Linked DNA regions of Arabidopsis thaliana. The protein of the gene in region 2 interacts with the protein of the main gene of each other region in a pairwise test. Each region holds a gene or a part of one and is shown on either strand. Other genes may lie near its edges. The genes, in order: FD and ATC.

Region 1 (4,400 bases), on a different chromosome or scaffold from region 2:
AAAACATTATAGGTGTGTAGTTTCAGGTGAATAAACCAACTTTTTCGTTTAAAGTTTCTTGAAGTCTAGGATTCTTATTGACTGGAATGAAAGTAGAAGCATGATTTAAAGTATTGGATGCCTATTTGAGGGGCTCTAAGTGTAACCATATAATGTGAGGATAGATTCTAGTCATAGTCCCACTTTTGGTAACTATTCTTCTTTATCTTAATGTCCACTATATTTACACCATATTAGCTCTTGATGTCCACTTTTGGTTGCTTAAAAGAATACACAGCAATATATCAACAACCAAAAGTGGATCAACAAGACTTATCACTGTCAGGTAAATGAAATTGGGCCAAAAGAAGATAAAAACTATTCTCTTGATAAACCAAATGAATACAAACACACCTAGTGTTTTTGATGGTGACCAGTTAGAGCAAAAGCTACAATACTATGTACTATGAATATAAATAAAACGTGGGGAGTGACCATGCTGAATAAGAAACTTATCATGTTCTCTCTTGACCAACCCGAAAAGTGGTGAACTTAATTCCCATTGGCTTGGAGGTTTCAAAATCATATTGCAAGTTGTTGGCTTGTATGGTAGACAGCCAAAGGATTGGATATTTATGTGATAATGTGATAGGGAGAAAATTAAATGTTCAGTGATAGGTCCCCTTCTCACTTTTCTCTGGTATTGTCATCATTTAAGTGGAGCACTGTTTTGTCTATTGGTCATTTGATCCTTTGCTTCTTTTAAGAACCAAATTGGTTAAACAGTAAAACATAAGGTTTTTTTTCTTACTAGTATTAGAAGAGGAAGTAGAACATTACTACAACAAGAATACAAGTAGAAGTTAGTACAGAAGTGAAAAAAGGGTTTGCATAGGAAAACGACAGAACATTAAGAGAGGACCCAGGACAGGTGTTCCTGTGCCTTAGGAAATTGAAAGATCCTTTTCTCTTTCCGGGTCTTTTGTTTTACATCTTCTTTTTTCCCCTACAATATCTTAGTTCTACAATTTTAGGCTTAGTTATACTTATAGCTAATAAAAAAGGGTACAAACTTTTGCCATTTTTTCACTTCTTCATGAGACAATCTCAATCCCCAAAAGAGAAACAAGGACTTGTAGATTTCTCAAAATGGAGCTGTGGAAGACCGTTGAAGTGTGTTCTTTTTGGGTTGCTGAATTGCTGCAGCCATTTTTAACTGCACACACACACACACATAATAAACACACAACTGAAGTATCAGAATCTAACCACCCAAAATGTCATTGGACAAAAAAGTGTGTAAAACAAATATACTCCAGAGGCTGTCTGTCTGTCTCTTTTTATAAGTTGGTTAAACTACAAGGAATTGATCTAATGACATGAGTGCTACAAAAGGGTAAAACATTAAGAACTTGGCTCTGCTTGTTTACCTGATCTTGTTGTCTCTTGAGTCTTGCATTTTCTGCCTGCAAGTGAGCAACTTCAAGTTCTAACTCGTTTGTATAAGCCTGCAAATGAGAATCAAAACCAAGAGACCTTTTTTTAGATCAAAAGCAATTTGATGGCAAAACCACATTTCTTTTCTTCCCTTTTTGATACACATGAGTAGAAGAAGATTAGGAGGGAAGAGGAGAGGCACATTCCTGTTTCCTAGCGCGGGAACGAGCTGCAGATTCTCTGTTCTTGATCATACGCTTATGTCTTCTATTCCCTGAACCTTCATTGGAATCTTGGCCTCTTTTCTTACCAAAAGAACTGGATGGAACCAGAGCCTCGAAAGAGGTGTTGAAGGCATGAGCGTTTGAGAGGTGATGGTGGGTATGAAGATTAGAGTTTGAGGTAACAAGAGGATCTTGGTTATCGAGAAACTCGAAGCCAGCGCCGGAATTCAAGCTCAGAACAGTTGCAGGAGGTGGAAAAGGAGAGCTGTAAAGAACAGTGACCGTGGTGGAATCGCCATTAGGCGCAGAACCCGTGGTCTGGCTTGTGGGTGCTGGTTCCTGGTTCAAAGATCCTTTGAGAAAATCTTGGAAGATTGAGTTAGGGTTTTGGTTGTGGTGGTTTTGGCCCCTGAACCTTGGCTCGTGGTTGTGTTGTGGATGAGGGCTGTGTCGGTTTAGGTGGTGGATGGAAGCAAGGTTGATGTCATTCCAAACTTCTTCCATGGTGACAAGAGATCTCTTCTGGGCTTGAGAGTCTTGAGAAGGTAAAGGAGATGATGATGAGGTTGATGATGATGAAGAAGAAGACGATGGTGATGAGGATGAAATGGAAGAAACTTTGGTGAGAGTCTGGTTCTTGTTTGTAGCAGAGAGTCTATGGTTTCTCTGATGCTTAGCTGATGACAACATTGGAAAAGAGAACAGAAGTGAACCAACAACACAGCTTTAGTCTTTGGTTGTCAATTGTCTAGTAGTATCCTACACGCAGAGAGGGAGTAGAGAGAGAAAGTGGTGAGAGCTCAGAGAGAGGTTCTTGACTTTAGCCGGTCATTTCTGGAATGATGGGGTTGGGTCCAAGACTCCAGAAGAAGAGACAGAGGGATTGAACTATTTCCAATTAAATAATATATTTCAAGAAGAAGAAGAGAAATTCCATAAACTATTATATGTAATTAAAGGTGTTTGTTGATGTCTTCAACGTCAGAGTTATTATAAAGATTAAAAATGGTGTTTGATTATTTCAAAAGTGAAGTATTTTTCATCATCCTTAAATGTAAAGAGTGAGTGGGGGTGAGATGCTTGTAAAAAGCCAGGCAAATATATAAAATTATTTTTGGTTTTATCTCACTTTCTATTTTCTAATATCAAATCCCTTTGGATCACTTTCAACTTTCATGTGTGACTTTAATTTTTGTTCTTGCTCTTAGATTTAAGGAAAATTTGCCAAAATACACTTTTTTCCCCTAAGGGTATTGACGAAATAAAACATTAAAAACAAAATGAAAGTAGATAAGAATATATACATCTTTCTGTATTAGAAATAATTAAATAAATTCGTTTAAATATATAATAAAACACAAAATCCTAACTACTATACCAATAAACTCAAATGTAAAAATTTCTTCTGTTTTTTTTTTGTTTTTGGCAGCAAACATTAATTCCGTTAGAATATTTCATTCCTCTTTTCTTGATGTGGTTAATATATTTTAAACGAAGATAGAATAATATTATCGAATATAAAAAGTAGTACTTGGGTGTTCGTATATGTAATTTGTTTCTATCAAAACTAAAAGTCTGAAAATTATATGTTTGATTAGTACAAAAAAACTTTATTTTATATGAGATTCGGAGTGTTTAAGAACGGGTCATTTGCACTTAACGTTTTCTTAAATATGTAGTTGCAAACATTTCAAATAATATCGACCGTATAGTTGAAATGCATTTAAATAACAAAAATATTGTTAACTATTGAATTGTTCCCCACTTCAAATCATTGGTGTTCATGTCATCCAACGAGATTTGATCAAAGTGTCAATAGTCTGTTTTACAATACGGATAGGGAAATCAATTTATGTGGGTCTCCAACTCTGAACAAAACAAACATTACAAGTGGATAGTAAAGTATTAGATTTTATATGACCAATATAGTTTAGATATTTATGTTGATTGTTTTGAAGATTAGAGACGAATACTAAACTAGTTAATAATTAAGCCAAGTAGAAGATGATACATATTAATAAATCTTTGATCATACGTAATAAACAAATAATATGAGTACCATCCAGATATCTAGATATTCGATTATCGTATCTACTATGTAAGTCAGTCTCCAAGTGCATATCTAGTCACGCTTTTCAAATTTTTCCTTTATTGCAAGTTGATTATATATAAACTATAATAACATACGATATTTGTTTTTCTTTCCTCTTCTCTTATTCTATTCAACAAGATTAACTATTCATTTCCGTACATGTATATAATTTTTTTTCTCTGAATGTTGAAATCAGCCCTCAAGGAAACGTCCCATCTTTTGAACATGCAAAGAGTACTACATTAGGAGCTGTTTATCGAAAATGCAAGCTCCTCAAATACTCATATTTGTTAGAAGATATATATTTTCCATTTGTTGGTGAAAAGTACAAAGACTTTAATTTGTTTACATGTTTCCAAACATTGGGTTTCAAAATACATTTTGAGTTTTTAATGTGAAACACAAATTTCATAGATCTTTGTTGTCGTTTCGCAACCACCAAAAATTCGAATGTAAAGAGTAGTACTTTTGTTAGTATCGACGTCACTACGCATATTCATTGACGAAAATAAAACAAATTTTCCCAGTCTCAAATCATTTTTGCAAAATAAACTCAAAATAAAGTTGGGGTATAGTCTGTAACGAGTGAATTCAAATGTCCATTGTATCATAAAATTGTGCAGAGAACTTGTAAGTTGTATAAGAAAGGAGTGTGACATGTCACGTCT
Region 2 (4,355 bases):
TCAAGTTGACCGCCATTTTTTTATCATCCATTACCAAAAATTGTGGTTTAGGACAGAAGCGGAATGAGATAAGAGGTCTCAACGAGCCTTCAGCATCTGAAACGGGAGCTTTGGTTCTAAAGCGAACAACACTTTGTAAATCATCATTATGATTGTGTTGTTGCAATACGCAACGTTTTCAATCAACACTTGTTTGTTTATTTGTCAATTGTTAACGTTTTCAATCGACACTTGTTTGTTTATTTGTCAATCGTTATGGACTTATGGTTGCTAGGATTTGTTGTCGTAGTTACGATTTAGTTGTAGAAAATTCGTATTTAACTTTGCGTTATTGACTTATAGTATCTTTTCTGCGTTAAGTAAAAGTATATCAAAACATGAATAAAATAATGAGTTTATAGGATTGATTTTCGATAACTTTATGAAAGTAATCAAAGCCGTCTTAGCTCAGTGGTAGAGCGCGTGGCTTTTAACCACGTGGCCGTGGGTTCGATCCCCACAGACGGCGATCATGGTAATTTGTCCAAACAAATTTTTGGTGCTTGCAGCCACCAATTACTTAAGGACGACTACCATTATACAACTATATCATAATTTTGAAAATAAGGAATATCAGGTATAATTACATTGATAATACTAAAAATTAACATCCATCAATATGAAAATAGACCATGCATGAGATTATAAGCCAAGTTTATTCAGATCACAAACAGTTCATAACAAATACACACATAAATATGATAGGAAAAGCTGTTTCCCGTAACTAAAATATAGAATGCATGGAACAACACATATTGTCCGGGCACAGCCAGAGTTAGTTAGGGCAGCTGCGGCAGCGGTGGAAAGTCATTCAACGGCGTCTAGCGGCGGTCTCACGCTGGCAGTTGAAGAAAACAGCCGCGACGGGGAGGCCAAGATCGTTCTCATGAGCAAACTCTCGAGTGTTGAATTGGTCTCTGTAAGATGGCACAGACACCACACTTCCTCTACGGGTCTGCTTGAACAACAAATACACAAAGCGGTGGATCCCTATGTTTGGCCGAGGCATCTCGTACCCGATTATCTCTTTACCTGTTTTGTATTCTCATATTAAAATCTTTGAACAGAAAATATACGTATATGAAATGTGATTTGTTATATCTAAGGATATATGTATAGGACTTACCAAATGATACATCAGTCGTCCCCGGGATATCGGTAACAATCCTGAGATTAGTCATTGCAAGAAAATGTTATGTATTTTTATTATATGTCTCTTAACATTTTTTATTTGCTTCTTTGGTAAATCTCTAACTTAACAAAATTTGAATGGAACAAAATTTACCAGTGCAAGTGCTCTCTCAGATAAGGATCACTAGGTCCAGGAACATCAGGATCAGTCATAACCTGTTTGAAATATTCGATATATGTGAATACACGTGACACATCCAATATACACAGATAAACATTATATAACACGTATGTATATCTGACACAAACTAGTTCGTTCTGCAAATTAATATTATATATATATAACTGCATAGTAGATAATATAAATAATTAAAATCTTATTTTTGTGTGTTTTACAGAAATATTCAAATAAGTCTAACAGTTAGAGAGGAAAAAAGTTTCTATTTATGGCATAAAGACGGGAAGAAAAAGACATTTAACGAAAAATAAAAATCACCTAGCTAAGTTATTTATGCATTTACTATATATATGATTTATATGACGATATAGGTCAATAAAGCAATGCGTACCAAAGTGAAGAATGATCTCATGTCACCCCCATGAACTTCAACCTTAGGTTTGTATGTAACTACAGAAGGGAAAAGTTCATGGCCATTGTAGACTTGCTTGTCAGAATTATAGGTCACCGTCATTTTCACTGCCTGCAAACAATTGTCCACAACGTCTCCGATCACTCTCCCAACCATAAGCGGGTCTGAGGAAATCCTGGCCATCTCGATTGCTTGGTTAAGAATTTAGACGAAGAAATGAAGAATAAGTGAAAGAAATTAAGGAAATAGTGTTTTGAGTTTGATATGAAAATGTGTGTGTTGGAATGGGGAGAGACAAGCTTGGGCTTGCTTTAGTTCTGCTTTGGGGGATATGTTTGTGTTGATTTGATGAAGCATAAAGTGAGAAGAACATGTATATTTATAGGGTTTAAGAGAAGAAATGGCTGTAATGCATTTGATTTGACGTTTAGATCCAAGGAATTTATTTATTTTCTTGTCAATAAGATGCTTCAGAGAGAATAAAAAAAAAGACGTTTCTTTAATCTAGGATCATACCTTACACAAAAAAATGAGAGTAGTTTTTTTTGGAGAGTTGGGTATTTCTGAACACTAATCAACTATCTGTTGTATTGGCCAAAATAAATTATTTTTGTATACATACGACATGATTCGATAAAAAAATATGTCTTTGAACCCTAGTAAGAATTTAGAAGTTAGCTTTTTTGTTAGGACACAATAAAAGATTGCTTTATAAAATAAAACATAATAATGGGCGTGATGGTAATTCAGTAAAATTATCGTCACTGAAGTCGTCATTTCAAATCTGATACTATTATTTTTTTTATAGTTGTTTTATAGGAAAACTCTTTCCTTTATGAAAATAAAAATTTAATTAGTCAGGTGGATAGATTAAAAACTTTATTTTATACATAAATTTATGTTAGAATGAAAGAACCTGGAAGTGTTATTACGGATTTACGGCCATGTTCTTCTCTAGCCATTATTTAAACAGAATGAACGCATTATAAATGGTGGCGTCGGGAATTTAGCTTTTTCTTTTTCTTTTTTCAGCAGAATTTCTACTTCTAGTACGTTAGGAGAAGTAGAGAACTAATATTTTATATTTATTTAAGAAAGCATCGCCATTCGTCGTAGGACTAGGACTCTAGGAGTATCTTTGCTAGAGAAAAAAGATAGGTGTCTTGTTTTCTTATGTCAATAGGTGGCCAAAGGGAAGACAACCTCGTTTTATCGATAGTTGTTTTCTAGTACCAGCTTAGGAATAATGCAAACTAAGATATTTCTTGCTTAAACCAAATCATTCCCGAAAAAATATCAGTTTTTGTAAAACATCAGTTTTCAGCTCTACAATATAGGTCTCTTCGTCTAGAATTCGATATGAATTTTTGTAGGTATCCTTCTTTAGCACTAACAAGGGAATTTGTGCGTTAAAATTATAATAAACCAATTTCGAACCTATGAGTGGATGAGAAGTGGCAGATTTTCCAATATGGTCCTTAAAAGTTAAAAATTCCTCAATTCCTTTTTGGACAGTATATATATAGAACATATAAATATATGCATACAATTTATTCAATTAACTTAGTCACCAGAGAAATGTTGGAAAAAAGAGATAACCTTTTTTTATTCCATGTGTTAGTGTCGACCATGAATCACAGCTTTGGTTGCTTTTATCGCCCCCTTGTTTTTTAATGTTAAAGAAAGAAAGATACAAATTTCAAGTGTCATTATTCTGTTTAAAATTCTAAACGTCGCTTTTGCAATAAGGGTAATATGAAACTTAATTATTTTCTTAAAAAGTAATAATATTGGAGTATGAGGAAAAGAAATATATTCTCTGTTAGGTGTGTGGATGTATTGCAAAGAATATATCCCAAAACAACTAATATTATTCTTGGACTTACCATTTTTGGAAATGTTAATGTTGGCGACCCACAACCCCAATGCGTTTCCAACACATTCAAAAGCTGACAGTTTGACAAATTGTGAAAGGTCACATCAACTTGACAAAGAGATTCATTTCCTCTGCCACTTTTGAATTATTTATATGTAATTTCTTTCCTTTTCCATAAAAAAAAACTATGAGGTAGAAAAACAAGATCTGGGTTTCCTCTTATAGAAACCCTGATTCCAACCTAACTGTCTTCAGATTACACGTTTCAAGTGTACTTTGCATGTGATCGTGATAATATTTTTAATTATTATTTTTTTATACTTTAGCATATGCTCCCACAACAATCTGTGACACTAACATTAATATTAAAAGCACAACATGTCAATCATATATACGGTCTTATTCGCAAGTCCTGTGATAGAACTTTTCTTCTCAGGTAGAGGAAACCAACCTTTCATTTGTTCCTTGAAACTGAAAAGTAAAAAAACAATCGAAATTAAAGCTCGTCAGTTACATCGTTTAATTAGAGCCGTTATTCGTGACTTATATATTAAGACAGCTATAGTTTATTGCAAACTTTGTTGAACTTAGAAATTTCAGTGTATACCAGAAAAATGTTTTGAAACTAAATGCATTTACACATACATATAGACATAACGCATTTAGGCATTTCTGACATGTTTTCGCACCGACTTGATTGGTCTAGAGACCGTCCATAA

What was found.
Region 1: the proteins of ATC (region 2) and FD interact in a protein complementation assay, tested with the Arabidopsis thaliana proteins (one study listed by BioGRID).

The regions. Positions count from the first base shown.
Region 1 is NC_003075.7:17,002,676-17,007,075, reverse strand, and holds FD (Basic-leucine zipper (bZIP) transcription factor family protein), read right to left. Parts: upstream 2,555-4,400; 5' UTR 2,331-2,554; coding exon 1,623-2,330; coding exon of another isoform or gene 1,596-1,622; exon of another isoform or gene 1,488-1,595; coding exon 1,410-1,487; intron 1,196-1,409; coding exon 1,124-1,195; 3' UTR 768-1,123; downstream 1-767. UniProt on the Arabidopsis thaliana protein: Transcription factor required for the transition to flowering promoted by FT.
Region 2 is NC_003071.7:11,771,005-11,775,359, reverse strand, and holds ATC (centroradiali), read right to left. Parts: upstream 2,174-4,355; 5' UTR 1,944-2,173; coding exon 1,740-1,943; intron 1,387-1,739; coding exon 1,325-1,386; intron 1,207-1,324; coding exon 1,166-1,206; intron 1,072-1,165; coding exon 851-1,071; 3' UTR 614-850; downstream 1-613. Other genes in the region: AT2G27570 (P-loop containing nucleoside triphosphate hydrolases superfamily protein), read right to left, coding at 1-31. UniProt on the Arabidopsis thaliana protein: May form complexes with phosphorylated ligands by interfering with kinases and their effectors. Can substitute for TERMINAL FLOWER 1 (in vitro).